Styela clava: one gene and its partners. The protein of the gene in region 1 purifies or fractionates together with the protein of each later gene. This does not show direct contact. Links are inferred from orthologs where the notes say so. Each region holds a gene or a part of one and is shown in the gene's direction. Other genes may lie near its edges. The genes, in order: syntaxin-18-like, NBAS subunit of NRZ tethering complex-like, sec1 family domain-containing protein 2-like and signal recognition particle receptor subunit beta-like.

What was found.
Region 2: the proteins of syntaxin-18-like (region 1) and NBAS subunit of NRZ tethering complex-like purify together in Homo sapiens (co-immunoprecipitation; 5 studies listed by BioGRID and IntAct, counting the BioPlex papers as one, with this or other methods). This does not show direct contact. The link is inferred for Styela clava from reciprocal best matches to the Homo sapiens genes STX18 and NBAS.
Region 3: the proteins of syntaxin-18-like (region 1) and sec1 family domain-containing protein 2-like purify together in Homo sapiens (co-immunoprecipitation; 3 studies listed by BioGRID and IntAct, counting the BioPlex papers as one, with this or other methods). This does not show direct contact. The link is inferred for Styela clava from reciprocal best matches to the Homo sapiens genes STX18 and SCFD2.
Region 4: the proteins of syntaxin-18-like (region 1) and signal recognition particle receptor subunit beta-like purify together in Homo sapiens (affinity purification with mass spectrometry; 3 studies listed by BioGRID and IntAct, counting the BioPlex papers as one, with this or other methods). This does not show direct contact. The link is inferred for Styela clava from reciprocal best matches to the Homo sapiens genes STX18 and SRPRB.

Annotation. Positions count from the first base shown.
Region 1 is NC_135253.1:4,203,079-4,210,575, forward strand, and holds syntaxin-18-like, read left to right. Parts: upstream 1-4,972; 5' UTR 4,973-5,216; coding exon 5,217-6,167; 3' UTR 6,168-6,967; downstream 6,968-7,497. UniProt on the Homo sapiens protein: Syntaxin that may be involved in targeting and fusion of Golgi-derived retrograde transport vesicles with the ER.
Region 2 is NC_135260.1:20,997,456-21,005,462, reverse strand, and holds the start of NBAS subunit of NRZ tethering complex-like, read left to right. Parts: upstream 1-4,695; 5' UTR 4,696-4,730; coding exon 4,731-4,830; intron 4,831-5,208; coding exon 5,209-8,007. Other genes in the region: ragulator complex protein LAMTOR2-like, read left to right, coding at 1-56; glomulin-like, read left to right, coding at 2,247-4,130. UniProt on the Homo sapiens protein: Involved in Golgi-to-endoplasmic reticulum (ER) retrograde transport; the function is proposed to depend on its association in the NRZ complex which is believed to play a role in SNARE assembly at the ER. Required for normal embryonic development.
Region 3 is NC_135255.1:2,229,717-2,237,160, reverse strand, and holds sec1 family domain-containing protein 2-like, read left to right. Parts: upstream 1-4,827; coding exon 4,828-6,816; 3' UTR 6,817-6,930; downstream 6,931-7,444. Other genes in the region: A-kinase anchor protein 7 isoforms delta and gamma-like, read left to right, coding at 826-955, 1,983-2,143, 2,646-2,758, 3,103-3,244, 3,932-3,978. UniProt on the Homo sapiens protein: May be involved in protein transport.
Region 4 is NC_135264.1:14,567,112-14,574,907, reverse strand, and holds signal recognition particle receptor subunit beta-like, read left to right. Parts: upstream 1-5,289; 5' UTR 5,290-5,293; coding exon 5,294-6,085; 3' UTR 6,086-7,176; downstream 7,177-7,796. Other genes in the region: signal recognition particle subunit SRP54-like, read left to right, coding at 2,401-3,888; oxaloacetate tautomerase fahd2, mitochondrial-like, read right to left, coding at 7,338-7,409. UniProt on the Homo sapiens protein: Component of the signal recognition particle (SRP) complex receptor (SR). Ensures, in conjunction with the SRP complex, the correct targeting of the nascent secretory proteins to the endoplasmic reticulum membrane system.

The DNA of each region.
Region 1 (7,497 bases):
ATTTCTGAAACAAGTTAAGTCGTACTTGGTATCCAAATATTAAAAGTTATTTTTCCATAACCACACTGATATATATACTCTTTCGTATGTAATTAGCTACAACGTTTTGATAGCTCGGACACAAAAAATATTTAACCTTCATGAATGACCATGATAGAAAGTTGGGACACTCTTCACTTGCACATACTTATTTTCATGAAAATATTAAACAGCTACAATATTGCTATTGCCCCTGCAGCTGCTGATTGTTGTTGAGCCGGCAGTTAATCTCTCTCCACCTGTTCTACATCTAATGTTGGTGTGTCGGGTTCTGTAGCATGCACAGCAAATTATTTTATTTGTTTATTTTTCAAATGGCTGTTTACACTCTGACATCTGCATGCGCATGTTCCCTTTTTGCTTAACGTTGGATTTTTGACATTACACATGCATGGTCTTTGTTTCTATATGGGTGGTGTGATACCTTATGAGGGTTGTAGACCGTATAGTTTAGCTCCTGTACCTATTATTGTAATTAGGTGACCAGTGGAGATATATTGGATTCTCCCCTTCATTTTAATTTGTTGTGGTATTCTATGATTTGTTTTGTGTGTATACAAAATTTTATCCTAGGTTGAGGTTCTGCTGTGAAGTTAATGTGAAGGCCAACATACGAATGGTTCAGTGTGGTTTGAGAGTTTCTGCATGGTTTGCGAGGAATTCACCCTGTGTCCCAACCATATTTCAACTCTGGTCTTTGAACTAGCGTTTTATAGATAGATAACTAATAATAAATATCTACTCGAAAGGTTGAGGTTCTGCTGTGAAGTTAATGTGAAGGCCAACATACGAATGGTCAGTGTGGTTTGAGAGTTTCTGCATGGTTTGCGAGGAATTCACCCTGTGTCCCAACCATATTTCAACTCTGGTCTTTGAACTAGCGTTTTATAGATAGATAACTAATAATCAATATCTACTCGAAATAATAATTAATTCTAAACAAAAGTGTAGGGTAGTGCTGTTTCCAAATATGTAACCCTTGAATATCCTACTCGCAGATTTATTTTCTGTTTTTCAGGTCGTTCTGTGATGATCAATACAATGGCTAGTTTATTGAATATAAATAGTGTCTACAACAACAAAATTTGCAAGCTGATGTCTCATCCACGACAAACTTGAATTGACATCTATTACGCCACAATAATTAAATGAAGAAATGATCCTGTGAAATAACAATACTAATTCCTTTATTCCTAATTCCTTTATCCTTGCAGAAGTCAATATCTAAGAATGAAAAAAAAAAAACCTTATAACCTTAGCAACCAACATATTCCTATACCCTGTCTTTCTACCTTAATTAATTATAATTACTCATACTTATAAAGTTACTGATAGATTTGAATACTTATTGCAATCTGGACTATAATTTGGCAATAATAGGCTCTAGTTTGGGCAATGAAGTGATCTAGCCCAGGGGTTCTCAAACTTTTGGTGTTGCGGAGCCCTTGGAAAGGTTGACTATTATTCACGGAGCCCCAAAATAAATGTTAAAGTTGTTACTTTCAGATTAATATTCCTGAGCAAGTTAAAAGTACTTTACTTAATTTAAATGCTGAACCTTAGGGTTAATACAAGTCATACATAAATCTAAATTTCAAACATAAATTATATATACACTAAAGCTGTAAATTTGACACTTGACAAACATGTTAATAAATAAGGGGTCGAAACTTTTCCCTTTTGACATTTTTGGAAGACTTAAAAGGCCGCTAATAACGTGCGCAATTGCATTTTGTTACAATCGCCGATTTTTTTCGTCAGCATGGCGTGTCTTTGAATCTTTTAACATCTTTACGCCGGTGTTTATTCTCCCTAAATCAAAAATTTCCCTCGGCATATATATACATGTATAGTTACACAATGACGACGTTATTCGCTTTTTTGTTCTCGTGGGGAATTATGAGTTCAATGTGAAAAACATGTTACCATATTATAGTCATCGTTACGAAATGCTAAAAATAATAATTAATAAAGAGATAAATCCGCAACTCAAATTTCTTGATTGAAAAGCGGCATTCTAAAATAATAAGACTAAAACTTAAAATGGAAGATCACAGGTTTGGTTTCAGCAGACTCACCTCAGATTGAAAACGTATTTATAGACATTGTAAATCACAAAAATTGGTGTTATGTTAGGTTTTCATCGTAGTAACTGCGAAATCGAAACAGAGTCAATGGTGCGCGCGATGTACCTTTTCCCCCATTATGAAACTACCGACGGAGCCGCACGCAATCAATTGTGCGCGCTCCGCGATGTACCTTTTTTTTCATTCTGAAACTACCGACGGAGCCGAATGCAATAAAATAAATTTCAATTGTTCGTTAAATGCTCGCATCGGTCATGGATTAAATATTTTACGCAATAGAAATCTCGTTATCCGTTTTTTTTAATCGCGAAGAATGTTGCGCGGAAATTTCCGATTCCAATTTTGAACCACCACCCTCTTAATAATCCTGGCTGCGCTCCTGCTTATAAATAATGTCATTTTTTAATTCCGCCTCTTTGCCATATTTCGAGGCTATTTTGTTGTCAGATTTTATCAAAGCTGTTATTGCTTCTTATTAGAACAGTTACAAAACTAGTCAGTATTTTGAAAAGTAATCCGATAGCTCGCGGAGCCCCTGGGTTTCTCTCGCGGAGCCCTGGGGCTCCGTACGGAGCACTTTGAGAACCTATGGTCTAGCCCAGTGGTTCCCAAACTTTTCTGACCATCGCCCCCCTAAAGTAGTTTATACAACTTCATCGCCCCCCAGCACTACAAAAAAAATGTAAAGTCAGAAACGAATATATTACAGACCAAATAAGAAGACAAATCATAGTTTATAGTGTTATTTAATGAGATGAATGAGCTCGGTGTTCTTCAGCAAATTTTTTATCATATCTGAAATTACCCAGTTTACTGATGGAAAGGCGATTTCGTTGTTTTGATGACAATAGTAGCACGGCTCAAAAACCCTTTTTCACCATATAATAGGTCGGAAATGAAAGAATCCAGGGTTCTACCTCCTCAAATACCACCGTGTACTCTTGCCTTATAGCATTTCACCCCCCGTAAATTCACCCCATTTCACATTAAATTAATGAAAGCAAAGTTAATTTTCCCAAAGTTATAATAATGATTTTCGTACATCTCATTCATTCCTACAGCCTGATGACCTGCACCAAAACACTTCGGTAAAATTCATCCCCGATTCCTTATCCTACCACGGCCTACAGCCCTATCACCAGTCCATAGAATTAATCAGCTATTTGTTTTTGGATTCATGGACTCGGATGTGAAAAAAAACTGTGACCGACTATCGACTACGGCCCAGGGGTCGGCAAATTTTATGTCGCTCGCGAACTCAACTCAGTCGTCTTATCAAAAAATTATTACAATGACATTTAATGTGACACTGTCATGTTGCTGCATCACGCTTGATAGCTTTACGACGCCAAGATTGGAACATTTTCCAAATGGGCATCACTAATCCCAGTTCTTCGCTTGTTCTTTGTAATGTCTCCATTTTCGAAAAAAATTGTTCGCACAAATATGTACTCCCAAACACTCTTAAAATAAGCACCGAGAATTTTAAAATGGTAAAGTATATAGGAAGAATTTTCCGCGGGCAAAGGTCGGGGATAGGTCTATTCAGTGAATCGTCCCGGTACAGATTTTTTTACTCCGGCCGTATTTTGCCGACCACTGGGATACGCCAACTACCGTACCTTACTGCGGAGACGAGTCCAGCAATCCTTTCGAGCGTGATAATCGACCACGTGATTCAAGCCTGCGAATGCACACAGAGTACAGAATTAAGTGCACGATGCGAAGAGCAAAAACGGATTTCGCGAAATCGCCCCCCTATCGCCCCCTTCGACTTTTTCGTCCCCCTCTGTATCGTTTTCGCCCACCGGGGGGCGATATCGCCCACTTTGGGAATCACTGGTCTAGCCCACCTCTTCATGTACCCAATTCTGGCAACTTTGGTTGGGCATTTTGGCATTTGACTCCATCTATAATCAGCTTGACAATATATTTTTTTATAAAAGTTTATCTTTACTGTTCACTCCCATTTATAAAATTGATCAATTTGGCAGTGGCAATCATGATAAATTTATTAATATGGTGTGGCAAGTAATTTTTATTTATTTATTTTTTATTAACTACCAGTATGTAATTTTTCATGTTCCCTTTACTTAATAACTTCTATATGGTTGTGTGTGAGCGTGTGTGAAATGTTTCAAATATTTTAGGTGAGTGAACACGTACCACATCTTCTTGGCAAAACCTTCCATCTTATATACATTCTGTACGTTTTAAACCTTATCTAAGGTTTTGTTCGCTCTCCTGATTTCATAATCAGTTTTTATTTATTTATTTTTACCATTCATTTTATTGTTTTGCTGATTATGGAGTCGAAATAAACTCATACTTATAAATTTTGGGGGAATGTACCGGTAATGCGTTGCCTAGATATAGAAAAAATATTTGTATGGTACATCAGAGCAAGTTAAGCTTAGCATCCTAAATATTAGAAAATTTTAGGGGTACCGGTACATGAGCGATCTATAAATTGTCTAACAGGAAGTTTTGCAAAACCTGCTTGAAATGGTACAGACTTTTTGAGACCACAAACTGACAAGACTGTTTGAGTTCTGGTTTTGTTCACTTTAGGAGTTGTTAATAAATACACAATGATATTTGGGAATTTATAGATTATTTTCAAACGCCACCTCGTAATCGGAAAGATATTAGGGGTGAAAAGTCTGTAAACCCATCAAAGCATAAATGTTGAATTGAAGAAAAATCAGATCTTTGAATCATTCATTCTAGCCTCAAATAGCTGTAGTCTATTCTACTACTACTATAGTGTTCAAGAAGTCACCTAGTGGCTTCAGCATTTTTCAATCTGAATGGTCCAATGAAGTTCATATCTTCAAGACGATCTGTTCTAGTTTGTCAATCTGATTATTTTTAAGTCATTTATTTGTGAAAAAGCATGTCAAAATAGGACTTTTTGTCACATTTTTGACGTTGTTTGTTTTGGCATAGTTTTCAGGATCGATCACATCTGGACTAGATAGGAAATATCAGCATATGTTTTATAGAAACCTCTGACATTTATTTAACTAATATGTATATCTTTAACCAAATTTTATAGAGTTTTAGTTGGACAATTAAACTTGGATCATAATGCATATAAACTTCATGGATCGTACGAATGATTTTAAGAAAGCAATTCGTGATATTAGAAAAGAAAATAGTATTCTAGATAATACCGTACTGAAGAAACCATCTCTGGATTTACATGCTTATAAAAGGAGAAAATCTGATTTTAATAAGAAGGCCAATGACATTGTCCAGTCTATATCAAAATTGCGGGATTTTTTACTGCAACACCGCATTGCGTATATAAATTCTCATCAAGCAGTAGGCCTTGCGTCACAGCCAATGAGTGATCATGAAAGAGACAAAATTGATGAGGAAGCTCAGAATATTATTAAGAAATGTAATGATGCCATTACAGTGATGCAGCAAAACGTCGAACAAGACAATATATCTGATCAACAATGCACCCATAGGCAACTTGTACTTGCTTCAATACAAAATCACCTAAAGTCTGTATGTAAAATCTACAGTGAACAAAGAGCAATCAGAGTTAAATTAGTGGTTGACAAAAAACGCATTTCACGTTTGCATAATCCGGAAACACATAAGAAAGCTTTGACACAGGATCCAGATCATTCAAACAATACAGAACGTCCAGCTATAAAATTTGAAAGCAAATTCAATTATGAAGAGAGTGATGAAGATGATTTTTCTGAGACTGAAGCTGCAGCATTGGAACAAGAAAATGTTCTGTTATTCAATGACATGAATAGCATGGTTGATGAAGTGCGTGCAATCGAGGGAAAGGTTGTTGAAATTACTCGGTTACAGGAAATTTTTAGTGAACAAGTTTTGCAACAGGAAGGAGACATTGAAATAATATCAGAAAAAGTTATTGAAAGTACTGAAAATATCAAAGGTGGTAATGAGGAACTGCGGGAGGCGATAAAAAACAATGCTGGGTTCAGAGTTTGGATATTGATATTTTTATTGATGTGCTCATTCTCTCTTTTATTTCTTGAGTGGTATAGCTGATAAGGTGCGATAAATATAACTATTACTGTTCTATATTGAAAGGGGTGGTGATAAAAGTATCATTTGGCACTAAAAGGGAATCAAATACTGGAAGAAGCTGAATACAAATGTTGGTATAGGTGTAATTTTTTTAAAGCTAAATCTGATATTGAATGAAAGCGGGGCTGTGAAATCGGAAGAAATATAAACCTGACTCTGAATGCCAATACATTCAACTCCGACTCCCAACTCTGGGCTAATGAAAATTCTGCTTTGTCTCTAGGTTGAGGTGAATTTTGATGTCAGCTGGGAATCCCAAGAAAATCAAACTTTGTTGTTTGCAAGCATTCTTAAGTTATCTAGCTGCTGTGAATGCTTAGTCAACCTGAAGCTTTTTGAGTTTTGTTAGAAATTTTAACTTTGATTGTCACCATTTAATTCTGAATTTTGATTCTGTGGGTGTGCAGTTTGAAAAATGGGTATCTCAGTCGGACTCCAACAATATTGATGGACATTTAATTCCATGTTCCAGTTGTAACAATTTCATTATAAAATCATTTTATGATCTGCAATTTACACTTGTCTTTATTCTCAGTATCTGATTTCAAGGCCACTATGTTTTTCTTAAAATTTGCTGCAATATTTACAGCTTTTGTCTATGGCTTTAATATATATAGATTATAACTTTGCTAGGTAGTGTGAATGCAACTGCATTATTATTAACCACAAGAGAATTGAAAGTATATGGTGTTATTTATCCACATTGTAAAAGTTTTTTAGAGAACACTTGCGAATAAAACTGCCCATAAGAAGATAATGAATCAGCATCTGATAGTGCCTGATTTAGGTTATATTTTTAAGGTGAAGCACTTTCAAGCAATCATTAAAATGTGTTATATGTATAAGTATAAAATCAAATTTAGTGATTTTATGATTTAGCTTAGCAAAGCTGAATATACCTTAAATTGCTGCAATGCCTGGAGGTATAATGAAATTTTAAGGTTTGTAAATTTGAACCAACCACACAAATTGTGAATCAGCATGCTATGGATTATCGCACTCAATTGTGGGTATTGCTGCTGTCTAGTAAATTTATGAACTAGTTTCAGTTTCTTTACGCAAGTTGCCCGAGAGAACCAGAATACATAAAATATAGTAAGAGGCTCAAGAGTTTTACTACAAACATGCGGAAATGTGTACGAAGTTGAGTACCTCCGACATCTTTCAGATTGCGCTCATTATGATTATGAGGTGCTATCCCTGTCCATACACTAATAACACACAACAATTTTTTCCACAATTGGTTCTTTGTGCCGTAAGTGGTCTGATTTTTGAAAAGCCGACAATGAAC
Region 2 (8,007 bases), on another chromosome or scaffold:
ATGCATTGACAAAATATTTGAGTGAACCTCTCAAAAACCTTGCGTTAGTTACATAATGATGTACAGACATTATCCAGTTATCTGCAAGTATTTATTAATAACATTCTAACAACTATTTTCTATGTCTGCGAAATGAACAGAACAGTTTTAATTGTATTTTTTCTGTGAAATGTAGGGATACAAGTTTTATTCCTTATTTGATTCCTTCATTTATTTACCGTGAGCTAGGATCGATTGTCATTAGGTTTTTGATATAGCTACTTGGCCTACCATAAAACAGCCTAAATGCAGTTTCACAGAAGGGGTCCGCTAAATTAATATAACTGTATAATGATTTCAAATTTTTAGGTGGAACCTTGAACTTTTAATTATACAAATTTAACTTGAAAATTATTTATAGGGAGCATTAGAAAATTATATATGTAAAATAATAACCAAATGGTTATAAGATGGAGCCACTAAAATTTTTCACAACTCTGGCTCTCCAGCCCTGCTGAGACATCTGGTTTGAAATTTTGAAGTACATTTCTATGTGCTGTAACAGTGAAGTGTCAGATATCAGAAAATTTTCCAATGTTTATAACAATATTTTTTAAAACATTTAGCATTCTCTCTCTCTTCAGCCACTCTCCCTACTCGCTCTTTATAAACCCTTTAACTGATAACTCCTACTCCAGCCTTCTATAAAATTTCATGACTCAGACTCTCCAGCCCTGCTGAGACATCAGACAATTTGGTTACATCTGAAATACATTTCTATGTGCTGTTACAGTGAGGTGTCAAATATCAGAAAATTTTACAAAGTTTAGGACAATATTCTTTAAAACTTTTGGCATTCTATAGTTACTCTCCCTACTCACTGCGTTCAAAATATTTCGACGTAAAATTCTGTTGATAATATGAGATAGGGTATGAGCAAAGTGTAGGCCTTTATGTCAGTATGCATGACTCAATAATATTTTTTCTTTGCCACAATTTTCATTTGATGTGTTCAATTCTGCAATGTGCAATTCTCTTTTTTTTATATATATTTCTGTTCAACATTTTCTCATGAATAACTATGAACAAATGTAATTATCTGGTAAAAACAATTATTTAGTCAGATTTACACTTGCTTGATAGTAATAGAGAATGCTCATTATTGATATTGTTATAAAAGGTTAAATATTGTTCTATTATTGATTGAAATAGTCATTCTACATGAAGCGTTTCATTCAAAAGATAATAATTAATAAAATGTTTTAATTACCGGTATAAACATTTTATTACAAGAATTACTTTTAAATTTATGAACACAGATATCCTAATCTGTGAAATGAATTGCTAAAGTAGCTATTTTTTCTATACTGAATCTATACTCTGGTCATCATGATTTTATGTTACATTTATTTGGATATTTAATTAGGGGTCTCATGGTCACGACACATCTATGTGGCCTGCTGTATGATAAATTCACTACTTGTTGATGCAAAGATACCCGCAAGGTTTAATTATACAAGAAAAAATATGGGGTCTAGTGTAGTTTCGTACCCAAAGTACTTCTAGTGGGTGAAGCATAACAATTTGTGCATATGTCAATCCTAACCCCCACCTGACGGGGTCATCCAAAAATCACGTCACTACACCATCACAGTGACATAATAAGGGCCTTCAAACTATATGCACTGTCATCCAAGACACGCAAACGTTCACCCAAAATGGAACAGCTATTTCTCTCGTTTTGTCGGCGCAGCGATCCTGATACGAGAGAGATCGCTGCTGTTAGTGAGTTGTTTATCGTCGGCGCAGATGCTATTTGGGGCGATTGTAGGTATACTTTGACAAGCTCTATGACGTGTTTGTGACGTCGTAGTGACGCAATTTTTAGATGGCGTAGTCAGGTGGGGGTTAGGATTGTGCAAAAATTGCTGTGCTACACGAGACCCAAAATATGTAATGGTAGCTGCGGACTTGCAGTGTCAAGGATTTGTTTCCTTTAATTGGGAAAGAATAAACTTGTTGTTATTCCTGACCTATCCATTACTGATTATTTTCTTTCAATGATTACGTATACCCTAAATTTCCATATTGTGATAGCTTAATAATACTGATGATATATCTGGTTTTGTTTGCCATTTTCATTCTGAACTTTAATATTTTGCATCAATTTTTCTAGATGATTGCTTCTGATTAGATCTGTGGAATAACTTTTTGTAGGGTAGCCTACATAACTGTTCAATTTAAACTTAAACAAAGTCGCATTCACTATGTCTAGTTCTCAATTAACTCATGTCCATGATGGAGAGGATGTGGAAAATAGTAACAGTTTCCAGACTAAATTTCAAGGAGCTCTTGGGAATCCTGAAAAATTGTGGGATTATATCAACGAAAACAAAGAAGCAGAAACTGTTATCCGACCTGTTGCTTGGGAATTGATCGGTTCCACTATAAGTTTTCTCAGAGAAAATGCCATTTCTGAAAATCTGAAGACATATGAGAAATGTTTGGAGAAAATTGCTGGATTCGCAGTACCGAAAGATGTTTATCTGGGTATATTGGAACAATTTGACCCGAGTATTGAGTCGATGTATGTTGAACTTCTCATGCCTGCATTATCAAATGTTCTTGAGAAGCTTGCTTTAAATGACATCGATGCGTGTATCACTGTCCTTGAAACTACATTTTCAACTTTATCATATTATCTTGAAAGTCTAAATATTCCTAAGTATGAAGATTTTGATCCCACATTAAAACGAACAAAAAAATTCGAAGCTCAGAAAATTGAAAGTTTTATTTCTAAATATATTGATTTATTAAACCCAGTGGTGAGAGAAATATACTCTAAAAACAACCAGATATCTTCAAATATTCTTCAATTTGAAAGTTATATGTTTCAGTTTTTATGCAATTTGCTCATAATGCTGGGACAAGTTGACTTAGATGAGCCCTTACCAGATAAAGAAAATGACTCGATAAGAGAAAATGTAATTTTTCCGGGGACTTCAAAAATATGCTGTGACGTTATGCTTAAAATAACACATTTTCACTCACCAAATGTTCTGTGGCATATTGTGAATTGGTACAAGTTACAACCAGCTGAGGAGCGGTCAATGGAAGCTAAATTTGAAATTGTAAAACAAGTCGATCGAGCGAGAGCATGTTATGTTTTTTTATTGCTGTGTAGAGGTTTGCTTTATGATCAATTTCCTAAAGTTTATTCGAGTCAATGTCTTCTGGTATTTACATGCATATCACTAAACACTCTACTTTCTTGTGAAAACCAGTGTGTGGCATGGAAAGGTTTAGAAACTCTTTCATTCATTTTGAATCAAACAAGTGATAGCTCAATCTCATGTGGCGAAGTTGTCTATAATATAAAGATGTCTTATGGAAGCTTTCAAGGTCGTAGTCAATCACTAAATCCCATCCTTGATGTTTTTAAAAATCTCATTAGCATTGCTGTTATGCTACCTTCGAAAACTATCCGTTCAACTGCTATACAACATGTGACTAAACTACTGAATTTATTTCGTTGGGAGGATAAATATTCAATTTTAGTTCATCTGCTCAGAACAACAGATCACAATGGTGTGCAAGGAGTCTTGATTGGTTACTTAAAAGACCGTTTCAATGAAATTTTACAAGAAATTTCCCCGAAAAATTCTTTAATTTTTTGTGAAGCTCATAAAATGTCTACTCTAGGAGAGCTGATATTTTTATTACCTCAAGGAACAGAGACTGATTTACTTGAAGACTGTGACAGACTCATGCCTGCATTGAATTTGTTTCGTTTCCTTCTTATCAGAGATAAGACGAACAAAACAGGAATACTTGATCATTTGGATAAATTAGATACAGAGTTTCTAAAACCTTTGAGGAATGCTATTGACCTATCTCGAGCTCATTATGAAAATGAACTAAAGAAGTATGATCGGAGTTCTAAACGTCCTGATGATAATAAAACTGAATTTCTTGTTAATGGAACCCCATTACCTACTTTACCATACAAGGAGCAAAAGCGAACACTTGAGGCAGCATTGCATACTTTTGATATGATTGAAATTGTTACAATTAGGGTAATTGAGTTGATAGATGTTTCATACACAAAACACAATAGTGGATGTGAAAAGCATACTCAAAACAAGCTATGATTTATTCAATTAATGAAACATATATTGAATAAAACGGCTGTAGCTCTATATGCTTGTATTATTTATTCGAACTCCCGAAGTATGTGAACCAAAATACTCTGAACATAGTATGTGTACCACGTTAAGGTTAGGCCCTAATTGTATTCCAATTTTCCTTATTTTAGTTCTATTACGAGTTCGGAGACTAGCCAAGTGACTCGTAGTATTTGTACCTGAAATTATGGCCTAACCTGGTACACATACTACGTTCCGGTGTCCTCCATCTTGGTTCACATACTTTGGGAGTACCTATTTATCTCGTAGTTCCTAATTTGAATAAAAATTAATGACTTTGTTTTTCATTTTTGTCACTCCCCAATCTGTTTTCAAAGTCTGTTGTGCAATTTAAATTACCAGAAGTTAGCTATAGAGAGTCAGCCTTTTCGAAAAAAATGCTTCAATTATTTTTTGAATGTTTAATAACATATCTTTCGGGAGATAACTTGAAATTTGTAACATGCAAATTTATTATGCATCCATGAATTATTGAGTTTATTTCTTGTTAAGATCAGTTTTATATATTATTCTTATTTTTAGTATATATTTATATACATAAATATAATGAATATTAGCAATCAAGCTGACAATTCATTGGAAGAAGATGCAATATTATATGACTTGTCATATCAAGTGGAATGGCCCGAACAAAAGGAAGTTGTCGGTGAGATATTTATTGCTTGGTCCATATATAAAAAAAAATCCATATATAAAAAAAGTTTTATGCAAGTGAGCATATTTGATACATGGCGATGACGAAGCTGTGTATTCTCTGAATTTGACAGCTTTTATTAATATTAAAGTTGAAAATATATTTTCAAACAGACAGACCCAATATTTTATTCAGTAGCCTAAGTCAGCTTGCAGTTTAATGCGAATTTTCAGACTCCACAAGACCACAACTCAGTGGTAATATTTCAGTTTATAGAGATTTTTTTTTAATTCTGTGAAAATCGATTTTAATTTTAAAACCAGTCATTAATCGTAATTGTATTTGGCTGCTTGAATATGTTTGTAATTATAAAAATTTATAATATTCCAGGAGGTTCACAACAAGATGAAATTCAATCAAATGTCATTTACAACAATGCCAAACGGATTCAGTCTTCAATATCAAGGTGGACATGGGCAACTGTCCGGGCTGTTGGTATTCCAGTAAGATCAGGAGCATCATGTATTTTGCCACCAGACTTGATCAAGTTAATAAACAGCCAAGAATCATGGATGTTTGCTAGATCACCTGATGGTAATTTTATTGCAGTATTGCAAGATGGATGTTTGGAAGTTCTCTCATCCAAAGATGACTACAGTGTGCTAGTCGGGCGTTGCAATTTTACAAAAGACCTTTTTCCTCAATGGCGAAAAATTTCTTGGAGTCTACATTCTACAACAATTGCTTTTTCTGACAGCGATGGTACCGTTTATGTGTGTGACCTCAAAGGAATACTTTTACTCACTTATCAAGGTCACATGAATGATGACAAAAAAGCTTATGATTATAGTTCAGCCATTTGTAGTTTGACTTTCATTGGACATGAAGTGACACACAAACATAAAGATGACAGTTTGCATTTATTGGTCGTGTCTTACAGTGGAATGGCGACTTGTCTTGAAATAAACAGCATTTATGAAAGAGGTTATCAAATGACGTATGAATTTGATTTTTCACCTAGTTATTCTAATGGAGTGAGTGGTGTTCTTTATAATCAGGACCACAGTATGATTATTGTTGGTGGATGTGCTGGTTATGCCACGAGCGATGATGATGTACCGAGAGCGACTAGGATTGGATTAACAGCATGGCGGCTTCTGTCAGAAGAACCTTTTCTCAAAGCTCTGAATGTTTTTTCAGATGTTGATGATGCTAAACGAAATCAGAGTTTTCTGAGGAGGCTGTCCACTGTTCCAGTAGGTTTGGGTAAAAAATTGCGAAAACAGTTTTTTGATGGAATATATACGATGTCATTATCACCATGTTGTAAATTTCTGGCTACAATTCAAATATCCGGTAGTCTTTCCATCTGGGATATCCCTTCTCTCAGACACAAAAGATGTTGGAACAAAGAAGATCAACCATTTTTTGATAGCCTGGATCCGGATGCTGTGAAATCTATAAATTCTGCTAAAAAGTTCAAGGAATATCCTTTATTACAAAACATTATTGACTGTCAGTGGTGGAACGACTCCAGTGTTATTTTAGCACGTTGTTCTGGTTCATTGACAGTTGTACGTGTTTCTGGTTTGTCTCTTGATAACCTTTTTGGTGAACAATGCGAGTGGTTGGAGCCAGCTCCGAGAATATCATTCTGCAGAGATGAGGGTTTCCTTGCGTTAGAATGCCAACCTCAAGTTAAAACATTGAAGCGACAACGTATGGATTCGGTAGAAGAAGCACAAAAGGAGGAAGATGAGGAATATGACCCATTTTTGGATGACAGTGACAAAGAAGATCATCCAGGTATAGCAGGCCGTTTGAAAAACTACACTAAATCAACCATGTATGATTTAACTGAAATTGAATATTTTAGACCTCCAAGAAAGCGGCCCAAACTTGTTACAAAGTCATATAGACTGTTAACTTTGACAAAAACAACACCTGAGAAACTTTTTGAAAAAAAATTGGATGATGAAGAATATGGTGAAGCACTAGCTCTGGCACGTAGATATAACTTAGATAGTGACAAAGTGTTCCAAAGGCAATGGAGAAAATCACCTGTTTCAGTTGCATCTATTCAGGACTATTTAAGCAAAGTCACAAAACGATCATGGGTCATGCACGAGTGTTGTGAAAGAGTACCTGACGAACTAGATGCTGCTAGAGAGCTTTTAAAGTTTGCACTGACAGTTACAGATATTGATAAAATTGGAGAGGTGAAACACACTGAATCTAAATCATCATCAACTTCCTCAGATTCGGAATCAGATTATGAAGAATATGAAGGATTTGATGTTGAGGAACAACGACAACAAGAAATACGACAAAGAGAAAAATTTGTTAAAAAATGGTCGAAAAATTTTGATTTTGATAATTTATCACTTGAACAAAAAGAAACTATTAGAACAAGAAAAAAGATTCTGAAATACTTTGACAGACTTTCTACATATGAAAGTCTACTGGGCGGCTACGATGCAGCAAGAGAACGTTACAACAGGGAAAGATTTGCAATCTTTAGACAACAGGACATGTTAACTTCTGCTTTAGAATATGCTCGTTCATGCGATTGGAAATCAGTTGATATATTGCTAACATTTCATGGAGATGAATTACGAGAACATCGTCTTCCTATTTTGTCAAATTTTCCAAAGACACTTTCTCCTACAGAATATAAAAGCTTGTTGCCTTACGTTGATGAGGAGGGAGAAGTCGGTCAATGGCCTGAAGTGAAGCATCGTGATCCTGAAGATTGGTGTGAAAAAGAGGAATATCAACATAAATTGACGTTGCTGACACAACCAGTGGATCCAGCATATGACTTTTATGAAGAAAACAAACATCTTAAAACTTTTCGAGTCACTTCACTTTCTGCAGAGTTGGTCAAAGAATGGTATTTACAACAGGCTGTGCAAATGGATACTGACGCTAGAGACATTGAAGGAGCATTGGATATCTTAAGCATTGGGGCAGAGAACTACGTTGAAGGTCTTCAAGACTTGACAAGAGATTTTAAAACGTTGGAAATGCTGGTCTATGAATGTAACTATGATCCAGGTTTGACTTTTGTTCAACTTCAAAGAAAAAGCAAGTTAGAACAACTGAAAATGTTAATGGATAACTCGTCAAAAGAAATGTATGGTAAAAACTTTCACAGATGGGCTATACCATTTTTAAAATCAACCAATG
Region 3 (7,444 bases), on another chromosome or scaffold:
CGTAACAGAATTTATTGTGAGACATGTGTAGATTATAACATGACAGCTACTCTTTTAATGAGCCTTCAATTATAATTAAACAAATGACAACATATCGCAGAAAAATTGATGCTGAGTGCAGAGGATTTTTAATAGGCAGAAAATATTTAATGCAATGGGGATATAAAATCCATATTTCCTGTATTCTATTCAAGAGATGTCACTGCTTGATTTTTATAAAAAGTAGTTTCTTGAAGGAAAACTATATCGAAATTTGATAAACCGTGAGAAAAAATTCACATCAATGTTTGGAAGTACATATGCGTGCGAACAATTAATTTTGCAAATGAACATTACAAAGTGATGCCCATTTGGAAAATGTTTTAATCTTGGCTTCATCCAGTGTGCCGCCTGATATGTTGAAAAGCTATCAAGCGTGATGCAACAAAATGTGTCACATTAAATGTCATTTGTGATTTTTTTTTCTTTTGATAAGTTTTTAAAAATATGTGTGGCTCGGCAAGACTCGCGACCCTCAATTTTTGTGAGAGCGTCAAAAGGTTACCGACCCCTGCGCTATGGGATTCGAACCTGTAAACCTATGCTGGATTATCAGAGGTGCATTAGCGATCGTATTACTAATGCTCAGCACAATGCGCCACACCGCCCAGTCTAAGTCAAGTTGATGCGATGTCTGAACTAGTGTATGCAGGAGCTCAGTTTCAGTGATAATTTATTTCGAACATATTTTAGATTAATCTAATATATCTTTATAACCACATAGATATTTTGTCAAAATGAATCACGAATTCGCATTTTCTATTTGAAATTTTTATAATGGTCCAGGTAAAATGAAAGAGGTTCAAGATTGCATTGTGGCAAAGGAGAGTATATTGGAAAATGTTGTAGTTGGTGTTGATCTTGCTCACATTACTCTTTGTCTATTGTCTCTCCCGAATGAAAGCACTGTGAATGAGTGAGATGAAAATGATGGTTTTTCTCTTGATTTTTGAAAAATCATTGATCTATTAAATTTTACATCACTGGTAAATAGAATGAATCATGTCATGTTTGCTATAGCTTGATTTGGACATTTCTCAATTTTTTGTATTGCTGAATTTTTTATCTGAGAATTTCAATGTAATCTATATATCATGATCATGTTTCGAAATGTATTGATTATATATAAATCTTAGTGCAAATTTAACTGATGAATCTCATGGGTTTTAATTGTTGGAGCTCGTAACTTGACATTTTTTTGGACTTCCTTGGCTCTCACATAGGTGTAAATTGTTAATCCCGAAATCATGATCATGGAATATCACCATTTATTTGATAGTCTGTTATAAATGCTGACATCTATTCTCACCTATTCATGATTCAAATTATTGCAATTCATGATTTCTCATGTAATTTATTCTACCAATGAGATTCAAGTTATTCGTGAGACCGAAAAATTAGATTTGAGTGTTTTTCGATTACGGTAATTTGTAACATTGATCCATTTTGTTATGCATCACCAGTAGGTAGGTACCGGTATATGTAATCAGATGTTGGCAATTTTATATTTTTGCCACTGTCCAAACTTGATGGTTAGGTTTTTTAATATATTGACCATCAAAATCATAGAACTGAATTGAATAAACTTATTTATTCAAACTTATAATCTGATAATATTTCGAATTAATCTTGTTTTTCCTCGTATGGATTGGATGCCGATTAGACGCAGCCAAACTTTGTCCATTATTATCATAAAATAATTCTTCATTATTCGAATATTTCTCACAGAATTATTCATGAGTTTCCTGTTGGACAAATTCATGAATGACATTATGTATTCAAATTTCGCTTGGGTTTCTTTATGTAAATACAAATACAGTACAACTATTTGAAGAAAAAGCATTGTTAGTCATGTGATTTCATAAAATGGGCTTCAATTAACTTGAATTTAGGATGTGCAAAACAGATATGTTTTTTAAATAGTTGTTTGTTTAAACATTCAGAGCAAATAAAATACTGCAAAGATGTAGAGATGACTTGATGTCAATATTAGATGGTGAGCCTATGAATCTCCATATTTCTGGCATTGGACATTTTGATAAAAGAGTGGTATTTGCTAAAGTTGTTCCTGGTGACAATGAAGAAAAGCTGAAACTGTTTTCAGGTATGAAGCTATTTTAATATATGGTATAAGTGAATAGTTGAGAAAAGAAAAATAAAAAATATTTGCTAGATCTCATACAAAGGCTGACATTGTTTGGTTTCTGTTGGTCAACTCAGAGCGGCATCTTGCAAAGCTTTGTAATAATAAAACTAGTCGGATAAGCATGCATTTAAAAAAAATTTTACATTGAAAAAAAATAAGGAGTCCAATTACATTTTTAATGAACCTTCAACCAATGTTATACTATATCTGAGAGAATAGGCTCTGGTATGCGGTCCCAATTTTCAGTTTAATTTGCCCCTTCCATAGAAGGATAAAGACTGCCATATAGACTGCAATTTGCAAGGTTCATTTTCAGGGCAGATACGCAAGGAATGACTGTCTTGTATGCCTGAATTTCATTACATTAAACATTGTTTGGTTGTCGGTTTTCTGAAATGTAGATTTCGGACTTCTAAAATAAAAACCACTTACATCCCAAATTCTATTTTTAAATTTATAGAACATTTCGACAAGGAATTTGCATTGTTGAAGAGTACAAATCCGTTTGAATACACTCCACATGTTACTTTAATGAAACTTTCCAAATTGAGAAGTTTTGCAATGAAGAAAAAGGTATTTCAATATGATAGTATATCTTCATGAAAGAATTTTGTACACCCCTTTTTTGATGGATATTGCTTTGTTGAAAATAGACTGCATGTAGCTCATGTGGAGTCGGAGGTCATCTGAGATTTGTGTCAACCCGGGGTCTCTGCGAATTTCAAACTTCGAGTCCCTATCGAGTCCGAGCCATTGTAGAGTCATGCTCCCCGAACATGATCATGATCAATATTCTTTGTCTTGTAAGTCTAAACTTTTTAAAACTGATTTTTTGTGCTGCAATAGTTTGTAGTCCTACACCTAAACAGGTGACTACCAGTACCAGTCTCAGTATTTTTGAAGCATTTTTATTTCAGATCAAGCAAATCAGCCCAAAGCATTTTGAAGACATTGAAGATATGGACTTTGGTCATCAGAATGTTAAAACCGTGCAATTACTTGCCATGTCAAGGAAGAAAGCAACAGAATATTATTTTTGTGAGAGCGATATATCAGTAGGTAAATAAGTAATTTATATTATGAAATGAGTAAAAGAGCCTAAAGTGATATCATTTTATTTTTGAATGTTCGCAATCAACATTTGTTTTTTTGTAGATTCTAGTGCAGTGCAATTTTTCTTTTTCATTATAGTTTTTCAATGGGATTCTTTGTAGCTTTGCCCTGATCAAAATTAATAAACCACGATTACCTGCATAAATTAATATACATGTTTCGAAGTAATTGTTCAATATTGTAGTATTTTTTCTTGCTTTCTTTAATGATTTTTAATTAATTTGTACCATCAAATTAAGTAGTAAAATGAAATTTTGGCCAAATTCACTTTTAATATTTTATTTTTAATTCAATAATTTTCAAGCATCATTTTGAAAACAAACTAGATTTGATTAATATTTAAATTGGATAGGATTTATCGTACCTATTGAACTTGGAGGGCTTCCATAATAGTGAAGGCTTTCACAATAGTATTTGCATTGTAAGAATCTGATATGATCATTTTTAATAATTTTCTTCATATCACAGTGATGAACAGAAATAGGCTTACGGTATCATTGTGTTCATTGAATGATATAATGCTTGAATCAATAATAAGCCAGTTTGACTCTTGGCTTTTTCAAATCTTTGTCTTATGAAATATAGTTAAGATTCTATATGAACATGTTTTAGTTCAAGTAATTTCTCTTTTAGAAGAATCTAATGTTGAAACCACTGAAGCTGAATATGCAGAAGAATGAACAGCAAGTATTTGCACAAATCTTACAGCTGAAACTAAATTTATATTGTATGAAACCCCAAGAACTTGTATAAATGTGCCAAGTTTATTCACTTCAACTGTAGTGTTCTTCTTTTAATTAACTTTGTGTGTTCTGGAAATTGAATATAAGGAATGTAAGTAGTTGTGTAGAAATCATTATTTTATTGCAATTTGGAATCCCTTTGATTTTGATATTCTCAAATTAAATCAGTATTTCCTATTTTTCTCTATCTTCAACCATTGTTTTTATTTATTACTTTCCAATTGGTGTCATATTGATTCTCCAGCTATAGTGTATGATCAATAGTTAAAAATGGTTTTCTGTTCAATGGTGCAAATTTTTGTTTCTTTAAAAAGCATGGATCTATATTTTTATGCTCATTTGTATATAATGGTTGGCCAGAATGCAGAAGGATTGGCTATGTGAATCTGGTCTACAGGAGTCCATATCCAGCTAGTACTTCTGGAATCCTGTTTTTTCAATTTCAGTATTATTAGAAAAGCGATAAAATCTTGCAAAAGAGTACATTTCACAGATAGACAGCCATGTTTTGTCTCAGTATTTGGATATCATTTAATTAATGTTTACACATACCTAATAATATACTTGGAATGTGATAAGAGTATAGTGTATTGATAATCGCATTTGCGAAAAATTTGCCTTCTGTTTTTTATTGTGAAACATTTTCATCATTTATAATTTTCATGAAAATTTGATTTAAACTTGTGCAAGTTTCTATGAATTTTGTCATTGACTATTGCATGTTCGTTGATATTTATGTTTTTCTTGTGATTTGTGTGCATTATTACAGCATCACTATTGATAGTCATGAATAATTTCTTTAAGCACACTTGCCTGACACCCTGGAAGAAAGTCGCTTTAAGGGTTCAAGATGCAGTTATTTTCATGGACAATCCTTGTGCGGAATGCTTGCATTGGTGTGGAGGAGCAGATCTTTTATTTGAAAGTGGAGCCACTAACATAAGAGAATTTTCTGCATTTGAGAGTGGAACAGAAAAGCAGGAAAAAGCTGTGTTTATCATAAGCTCACCTCTTACTGGGAAGACAACATATACTATAGAAAATATTTTGTCTGCAAGTTCTTTTAATAACTGTTTGGTGATCACAACTCTAGAGCCTAAGTTACATCAATATGCTTCAGGGGAAGAATATCTGAAAGAGGATGAAAGAACTTTCGAAGATCTGGAGCATGAACTACAAAAATGGATGGGTGACACCAATGTGCAAACCGAAATTCTTCATCTCCCCATATTCATGGCACCAATGTTTGAAAACTTATTTCTGACGCCTTCATTTGATGCATTTTTTCCTGTTCAACACAAAGATCTAATTGAACTGAATATGGAAGATTCTGGTAGAAGCACGATTAATCTTAAAGATCTCCATTTCTACATGTGTCCTCATGAATACAGAACTCTTGTTCGAATGTTGACATCATCTTTACGACAATGTTTCCACTCTATAGGTTGTAAAGAAGAAATATTTGCACTTGGGCCAACAAGCCACCTGTGTTCAGTACAGCTTTCCAATATGGTTAATCAACAAAAAAACACTTATCCAGGGAAAATCGGTGTCCTTTTCATTGACAGAACTTTAGATTTGATTGGCCCAGCATCCCATGGGGAACGATGTTTAGTTGATCAATTACTGGGAATTTTGCCCGGCCTTCCTGCTCATTGTAACAATGTGTCAGTTGATATGTCAATTTTATGTGATGCTTGTCCTGAAGATGTTGATGATACAATTGTGTATCCTGGTTGTTTGGTTCCAGATACAGATGAAAGCCCTATTCTTGCGGAAGCTTGTGGAGTAAAAAGTGTAAAAGCAGTTTCACAAATTCGAAACCAATTGCTTAGAGCAGTCACAGAAGAAGGTCTTAATGAAGATGGTGATATTTCAACCAATGAACCTAATCCTGCTGATAATATTGAAAATCTAGTTGGTGCTTTCAAAAGAAATGCTGGTGCTGTTCTGTACAATAGTGCACTACTTCAATTTGGTTTGGCCACTGCCCAACTGCTAAAAGATGAATCTTGTGAAAGTTGGGAAACATTGGCTATGACGGAGAAACTAATTCTTCAGCAGTTGGGAGATGATGATGTCTCTAATATTTTGGATCAAATCACCAAACTTGCTAAGGACGATTCAACTACTTTTGAAGAATTGTTGTCTTTAATGATTTATGCTTCTTATGCATTTAAAAGTCACATAGATATTGATGTGTATGAGAATTTGTGCGATTCTCTTTGTGAGATCATTTCCAACACTCAGTGTGAGGATCTCCCAGAGCACTTCATGACTTCTTTTAAGCTCTCTGAAGAAGACCTGAAAAACAAAGCCAAATTAACTCACACCGTCTACAGAACTTTGAACAACCTTGAAAAAATCGTCGTAAATGATTTGCATCTATTTCATATATTGAAATTTGGCAAAGTTGAGCCCCCTTCTTACCAACCTCTGCTAAGTCAAGTTATTGAGCGAATATTCCATCCACTAAAACCAGATCTTGAGCCTGACATTGAGCATATTACAACTGGTCGCAAAGACTTACTTAAAATGGGAATGAGTATGTTCCGAAAAGTCACTCCTCCCAGACCATGTGATTTTCCTACTTTAATAATATATGTTATAGGAGGCATTACAGCTACTGAGGTTTCACAAGTCAATGATGTTTTACGAAAGTTTAAGTCAAATCAATGTGAAGTTATACTTGGATCAAACAGATTAACTTCACCATCCGATGTTGTCGACAGAACTTTGTTTACAGATAACCTAAATCCGGATTTCTTTTTGTAATAAGCGTTTGTGGTTGCGCTCTTTTATCTGTGAAATGAGTTGCAAATTTCGTGGGACATCATCAGCTTCTGGTGTATATATTGTGCAATAAATCAAGTACGGTAATGTCACGTATGAACCGCGTATTTTATTACAATTACCATTTTCGTCTGAACTTCCCTGTTTACCTCAAAAGTTTGCCGTCATATTTTCAGCTAGATCTTATGCAAAAAGTGTTTCCTTGTGGTCTCCATGTGTTTTACCGTATTCCGTCAGCCCATCTATTTCCCAGATAATTTTTACTTCTTTAAAGTCAACCGCGGAATGTTTACCACAAGGATTATTCTATGTATATTTTGTCGGATGGTCGCTTGCAATCTTCCATCTGGTAGCACTATTTCAACTTTCCGTGATTAATGATTCGGGAAACACGCGACCTAATTTGGTCTCGGGACTATGCTATAATTTCAGTCAGAAAAACATGAAAATATTCCACACGATTATATAATCGACGACGTCAAATCGAGTTTATTTTTTCCAATCAGTAAAAAGACAAAAATTAAGGAAAAACATTTACATTACTGGGGAAGGAAACCAAAACTGGTTACCGATACCGAAAAGATGAAGTTGCGTTGATTTATCACGCAAT
Region 4 (7,796 bases), on another chromosome or scaffold:
AAGTCAGATCATAGGTTATTTAAAGCTCACGTATTTCGTGTTTATGGTTGGCTGTTACAGCCCAAACAATCCCACGAAGGTCACCTTGAAATTGAACTCCGATGACTAGGTGAGCGTCGGGTGATGTTTTGATTACGCGAGGGCATTGTTCCACTGTCTCGCGCGACCGCAAATTCATTGTCACTTAATAATCAGTCTTAAATAAAATGAAACGTGCTTTAGCACACGTTCGGGCTGTTTGATGGAAAGCTTTAAAATTCATCGCATTCACAAAATTATGTTTTTTCTATAGCATATTATCTTGTATGTATTATGACGTCATACTACAATAAACAATTGCGAGTTATCAAATTTCTGAAAAAAATATTATAAAAGTCTGATGTAGAAATATAGTTTAGCTCTATGGAACATAAATTCGTAAACCATTGAGCTATCTAGCTAATTCCCGTGCATAGTCAAGGGTATATCGCACGTAGTGCGTCTTTGCAACAATATTTAAAACTGCCGTTCTACATAATTTAAAGATTACCAAGCTTTCGCTTCAACGTAACATCTCACAAACGATGTTACGAATTTAATTTTATATAAATTTTCGGAACAAAATGAAACGAAGGATACAATTCGTCCAACTAATCCACAATGTTTGGCGACATATTTTCAAGATAACATAATGGGAGCCTAATAGAAAACGTCGCCTCTCCTTCAAGTCGGTTAAGAAAATAGCTAACGATTAAAATAAGAAAGATGCAGCAGGAGTGGCTATGTGAATCCCTATTGGATAGCGAGGAGTCAGTCAAACAATCCTCTAGCTCGCAGGGTAATAAGTAGTCTGATAAATGTGTTTTAAAGTTTATCAAGTAAAGTTAATGACGCTTTCTTTTTTACACAGCAGCACGCAAAACACACGGGAGGAATCCGAAAGAAAGCAAATGCTAGAATGTATTTGAAACATTCGCCACGATGAGCAAACTACCAAGCTAAAACAATATCAAATACTAACCTGACATAACCTACGAAACAGAGCAGGTTGCGAGCGATGGCAAGAGTGGCCCTAACACCTAAAACGTGCGTAAAACAGGTCAAAGCAAAACTAGTTTAGAAGTTGATAAATTGAAGTGAAAAGCTGATAGAGTTCGGGTATGAAGTTAACATTCCAGATACATGACATGTTTTTTCAGTAGATTTTTATAAAAATAAAACAATATTACATAACGTTAGTTGGCGGAATGTGAGTCAACACACGTACACCGCTCTCCAGAGGTTTCGCCAATATCAGCATCTTTCTTGCTTATAGAATAATGTTAGATACTCACATTTATTTCAGTTACTCAAATAAAAATTTGACTCCAGGTTCTTTCGGTACAGCATTCAAAAGAAAAATTTCAATTCTACTGCAGTCATGGAAACTACAGTTTCCTCTGTGTCGTCAGAATGGATTAGATTATGAAGTAATAATCAAATCATTTTCTGAGAACATTGTTGAAATTTAAAATCTAGCAACCTGAGAACTAATCTAAATTATAAATAATTCAAATAGGATAGGAATTTCACATTTTTATTTCAATTTAGAAGATAGTCGATACGGCGAACCACGGCTTCCCTCCCGGTTAGTGGTTCAAGGCGGTAACCGGTTACGTGTATTTGTTTCAGATGCATGGGTTTGAATGTAACTAACATTTGACAAAAAGTACCTCAGAACTATTACAAATGAAATTCCTAAATTTATTTATCTGTCAAAAAAGGTAAAAAAAATATTTCTTTATATGCCTGACTGGTACTCAACCATCCATATGCTTGCTTTTCGATGGACGTCATCAGCAATACAAGCCATCGTGGAAGCAATGGAGAAGTTCTTGTCGGTGCTTTCCCGTTTCCAGGTTGCGTCTCTGAGTTTTTGTTTTTTTTAGTTTAAATTTTAGAAAATTCTAGATTATCAAGACTGGAACTGCAGTTCGGTATCTTAAGCATTACAGTACGGTACATAGATTACATCTTTAAGAATCGGAATGTTGAAATCAGGAAATGGGTTCAGTTTTTAATAGCCGATTTGACACCATCAGACCATGTCAGTATGTTGAACTAAATGAACTGGTAACAAATACTTTCTAATGGAAAATGAATTCAATGCCTAGCCTACCGGTACATGCTGGGTATTCACAACTTGCAGACTTTTTACAACTTTTTAAATGACTTAGCAATGGGACAAGGCCTCTTGGTAAATCTGTAAATATCTGAATATTAAAAAACCGAAATACCGGTTTGTTGTTTATGCCTACTAGATTGAATTCCCAAACATATAATTTAATTCAGTATTTATCAGTAAATTTTATACAATTTACAGTTGATAGATCTAAACATAGATTATAATATTAATTTGGAGAAAAGAAGTAAAGCAGCAAAATGGTGTTAGCAGATCTTGGTCGAAAGATCACGGACGCTTTGCGTTCTCTGAGCAATGCAACCATTATCAATGAAGAAGTTTTACAATCAATGCTCGGGGAGATATGTCGAGCCTTACTCGAAGCAGATGTCAACATTCGACTCGTTAAGCAGATGCGAGAAAATGTCCGCTCAGCGATTGATTTCGATGATATGGCATCTGGTTTGAACAAGCGTAAAATGATTCAATCCGCTGTATTCCAGGAGCTTGTGAAACTTGTCGACCCAGGTACCAAAGCATGGCAGCCAACAAAAGGTAAAGCTAATGTAATTATGTTTGTTGGTCTTCAAGGTAGTGGAAAAACAACGACTTGTACTAAGCTTGCGTATCATTATCAGCGAAAAAATTGGAAAACATGTCTAATCTGTGCGGATACTTTTCGTGCCGGAGCTTTCGATCAGTTAAAACAAAATTCAACGAAAGCTCGTATTCCGTTTTACGGCAGTTATACTGAAGCTGATCCTGTGATTATTGCGCAAGAGGGGGTAGAAAAATTCAAAGAAGAAAACTTTGAAATCATTATTGTCGATACAAGTGGAAGACACAAGCAAGAAGATGCTCTTTTTGAGGAAATGTTACAAGTATATAATGCCGTTGCGCCTGATAATGTCATCTTTGTAATGGATGCCACAATTGGACAGGCATGCGAATCGCAAGCAAAAGCATTCAAGGAAAAAGTCGATGTTTGTTCTGTTATCATTACAAAACTTGATGGCCATGCGAAAGGTGGAGGTGCACTTAGCGCAGTTGCAGCTACAAAATCACCGATCATTTTCATAGGTACTGGTGAACATATTGACGATTTCGAAATGTTTAAAACGCAACCGTTTATCCGAAAACTTCTTAATATGGGTGACATTGAAGGCCTTATCGACAAAGTTAACGAACTGAAATTGGATGAAAATGAAGAACTATTAGACAAATTGAAACACGGACAATTCACTTTACGAGACATGTACGAACAATTTCAAAATATTATGAAAATGGGGCCATTCAGTCAAATTATGAGTATGATACCAGGATTTAACGATTTCATGACAAAAGGACATGAAAAGGACTCGATGGAACGACTAAAAAAACTCATGACAATTATGGACAGCATGACAGATGATGAACTTGACAGTAAAGAAGGAGCTAAACTTTTCACTAGGCAGCCAAGTAGAGTCGCAAGAGTGGCGAGGGGTTCTGGTACGCTACCTAAAGAAGTCAACGAGCTTATGATGCAATATGGAAAATTCGCGCAGATGGTCAAAAAGATGGGAGGCATGAAAGGACTTTTTAAACCTGGCGGAATGGATAAAAATGTTAACCCGTCACAGATGGCCAGACTTAATACGCATATGGCAAAAATGATGGACCCAAGGGTTTTGCATCAAATGGGTGGCATGCAGGGACTCACAAACATGATGAGACAGTTTCAACAGGGTGGAGGGCCTGGTGGCAAATGATTGATTTATAAGTAAGAATACAATTTAAAATAATATATTCTAAAGACTAAAATCGCAATTGGAATATGGCTTGCATGAAAGCTCACCAGATTACTTGAGCATACTTAGGCTATATATGAAAAGTTACAGTGTTTTGCTATGTTTAAACTCATAATGCTCATTGGATATTTAATTTTTTCTTATGCTTCACTTTTTTAATAATTGATGATGTTGAAGAGTATGCCAATAAATAGGATTTATTCCCAATGGTCCTTTCTAGGCCCGGGGTTCCCACAATTGTACAAATATAAGGGAACAAACTTCCCAAGGATTTTGACCCAACGTTGAAAATGATGTGATCTGATGATGTAAATTTCCTATTGTTTATGTGTTCATGTCATTGTTGAATTTTTTTATCGGATTGTAAGCAGATTTTAAACTATCGTTGGTTTTCTAGAGATTAGGATATAGAGGAAAACCGGATCGATATTAATTACTGATGTACCGGTAATACAAGGATAAATTCTTGATTTTTGTTTTCATTATGGGAATTTTGGTGTTGCTGTGAATCAACAAGATTTCTTGTTTTATTGTACATTTATTTCATGTGATTGAAGGAAATCATGCCAGTTTTATTCTTTATTCTATTATGAGTTTTGTTTCATGGCGCATGTGTTTGCAAATGAGACAGAATATTATTCGCCGGATATTTTTGTGAAAATATATGGAATTTGTATATATATATATATATGTACTGGAGAATACCTTTTTAAGCAGTGGAGATTGCATAATATTTTGTTTTTCTCATGATCTCATTCTTACAATGCTGTGGACAAGCAGAGTATTATGGACATGACAATAACGAGGAAATTTAGTTTGACAACTAAACAGTCGCATTTTTGTAAATTTTGAAGATTTGGTCTGAATATCACCAAGCCAGGACCAGTTTCAATTAAATTTAAAATATTTTCTCATTATTTATTCTTGCGACTACTTTTATTTACATGCTCAATTGTGTTAGTGAGTCATGCTGAGTGATACTATAGCAAGCATGGCTATGGACTCCCTTGAGGCCTAATTGAGCTAATTAAGAATACAGACGAGACTCAGGGGTTGAAAATTTTGAACCTTCTTGTCACGAAAATTTTCATGGCGAAAAATAAATACTTTGCAACCCTTTTACCGCCGTGGTGTAATTAGCCACTGCTGTGAATCATAGAAGTAATTCTCGCTCCAATACCATAATAAATTGACTTGATTAAAACCCCAATCTCTCACATTGCATCCCTAGCGATGACCAAAGTAACTGGTAGACTTGCACATTTTTGAAAGAGTGCACATTACCTTTAAAAAATATTGTTGCATTATTCTGTGTATGTATATTACGGCTTTTTGATCAAGAAAACTGTCTCTATATTTCAGATTTATGAACTATAGATGTTGTGAACCAATCATTGACATGTCATACTCAATCGAACGATATTTAGACATTTGTCAGGAATATGTGGGAGAGGAAAACATGTTGTATTTTGTGTTCGGAGTTTCGTTCATTATTTCTCTCCTATTTTACCTTGTATGGAAACTAGTTGCTGGCGGAAAAGTCAAGCGACGTGGAATTTTATTCGTCGGATTGAGTGGTGCCGGGAAAACTTATCTTTTGAGTAAAATACTAACTGGACAGGAGATTGAAACTGTAACATCGTTGAAAGAAAATCAAGCAACGTACGCATCAGAAAAAGGAGCTCTTAATATCATTGATATCCCTGGCCAAGAAGCAATCCGGCAAAAGTTTTTTGACCAATTTAAAGATACTGCAAAAGGAATTATTTTTCTCATTGACAGCGAGTCGTTTTCTAAGGATTTGAAAGATGTTGCGGAGTATTTATTTAATATTTTGACCGACCAGAACGTCTTGAAATGCGTGCCGCCTCTTTTGATTGCATGCAACAAGCAAGACCTATTGACTTCAAAATCAAAAAAAGTAATCCAAGATCACTTAGAAAAAGAGTTGAACACAGTTCGGAAAACTAGATCTGCGGCCTTGAGTTCGATTGATGGAGAAGAAGCAACTGTGCATCTCGGTGTAAAGGGGAAGCCATTTGAATTTTCTCATTTAGGAAAATTGAAGGTTGATTTCATTGAATGCAACGCTAAAGGTGACTCTGAAAATGAGTCTCGACTTGATGAACTATTACTTTGGTTAAATAGACAGGCATGAGTGTTTATAGAGCAGCCTTTTCTCAAATTTTTTTTTGTTTTGGAACACCAAGAAATTGTGAAAAGGGTGATAGACTGGCTCAAGGTCTGTCAGCCTGTATGTTGCCATTTGTGAAACAAATTTATGACCCAAAATCGAGCAATTTAGATTCGAGGCTGTTCTGTTTCCACAGAACACAGTTTGAGAAATTCGGATTCACTGATTGTTGGAATCCATTTTCCTTTGTTTTTTGGTGGTTGTTTAATAAAAGAATGAGTGTGAACCTATATTAATCCCAGTTGCAATTATTGCTTTATTCATTTCTGAGAAATCTTTTCTTTGTGGAAATATAAGAGAAGGAACTATTATGGACGTTTGCTTGTAGAGAATTCACAGGGGAAATGCTCGCTGCAGAGCAGGTTGGTTCAAAAAATTCTAGGTGTCCAAAGGGAAAATGTGTGGCTACATTAGTCATTGGGCATGTATGACCTTACGACCATTTCGCTAAATTTTTTTTTTTTTTGGAGAGAAAAGAGGCCATATCCACCCTACAACCTGTTGAGCATGTAAATTGGTAATCCTAAACACTGATTATGGGCTGCTACAGACAATAAGTTTTGCTGAGAATTCAAACCACATAATGTCAAGTTCATGAAATCCTCCCAACAAGCACCATAGCTAAAAAATATTTCACCAGTAGACTCACACCTACATAATATACAGGAAGACACAGATTTAAAAATTGTTCTAAGATTTCTACAATCCTAATGAGTGCCCAAAGAAGATCAAGTCACATTTATACCAAGATCAGTAATATTTATATTCAAGACATTGCGCAGATGGAGAATTTATTCGCCGATGATTTTTACCTCAACTCATAACAGAGCGGTATAGAACTTTCAATATTTATTTCAAAAGAGATGGTACAGAGATCATCACTTGTATAATCATGCTAGATAAATGAAGAGGCTTATTTAATTCACTTCGCGAAAAATATGAAAATCAAAATTGATTGAGAAGAATTTTAAGATTCAACAATCACAATTCAGAATCGTATTATACATATATTTCATCATGATCAAAAGGATCTTAAGGCCATTGGAAAAACACATGCCATATTCTGATACATTCGTTAGAGGTATTATACCAAATAACCCTAAATTTTAATAATAGTAAGAAGTACTAATTCCCACTTGACAGTTCTGCCAACACTTTGCATAAATTACATGAAAACTGATTGCAATTTTTTCAATAAAATCATTTGAACATATTTTTATTCTTCTGCAACAACTGTATTAGTTATTCTCCCAATTCCTTCCACTTCACAGGTGATCACATCACCGGGCTGAAACAAACAACATGATTTATGAAACATTTAAGACTTCATTATATTTAGATAGAGCATTGCCCCCAAATACTGAAAGTTCGACAAAAACTCCCAGCCGTAACCATGACGACCATGCATGGGTAAGGGAAGAGGCAAATGGTTAGAATGAGTATATGGAGTGAGATTTAATGTATTTTCTGGGTTAGGCAGATATAAAACAGGAATATGTTTAGAGCGGTGGTTCCCAACCTTTTATGCCTCATGGCCCCCTTTAGGAGGCATTTAGCACTGATGGCCCCTTGTTTATCATTCCAGAGGTATTTATGATGTTATTTAGATTGGTAGATTCCAAATCCTATTATTTTCAAACAATTCTTGCTCAACAAAGTGAAAGCACCTTGTAAA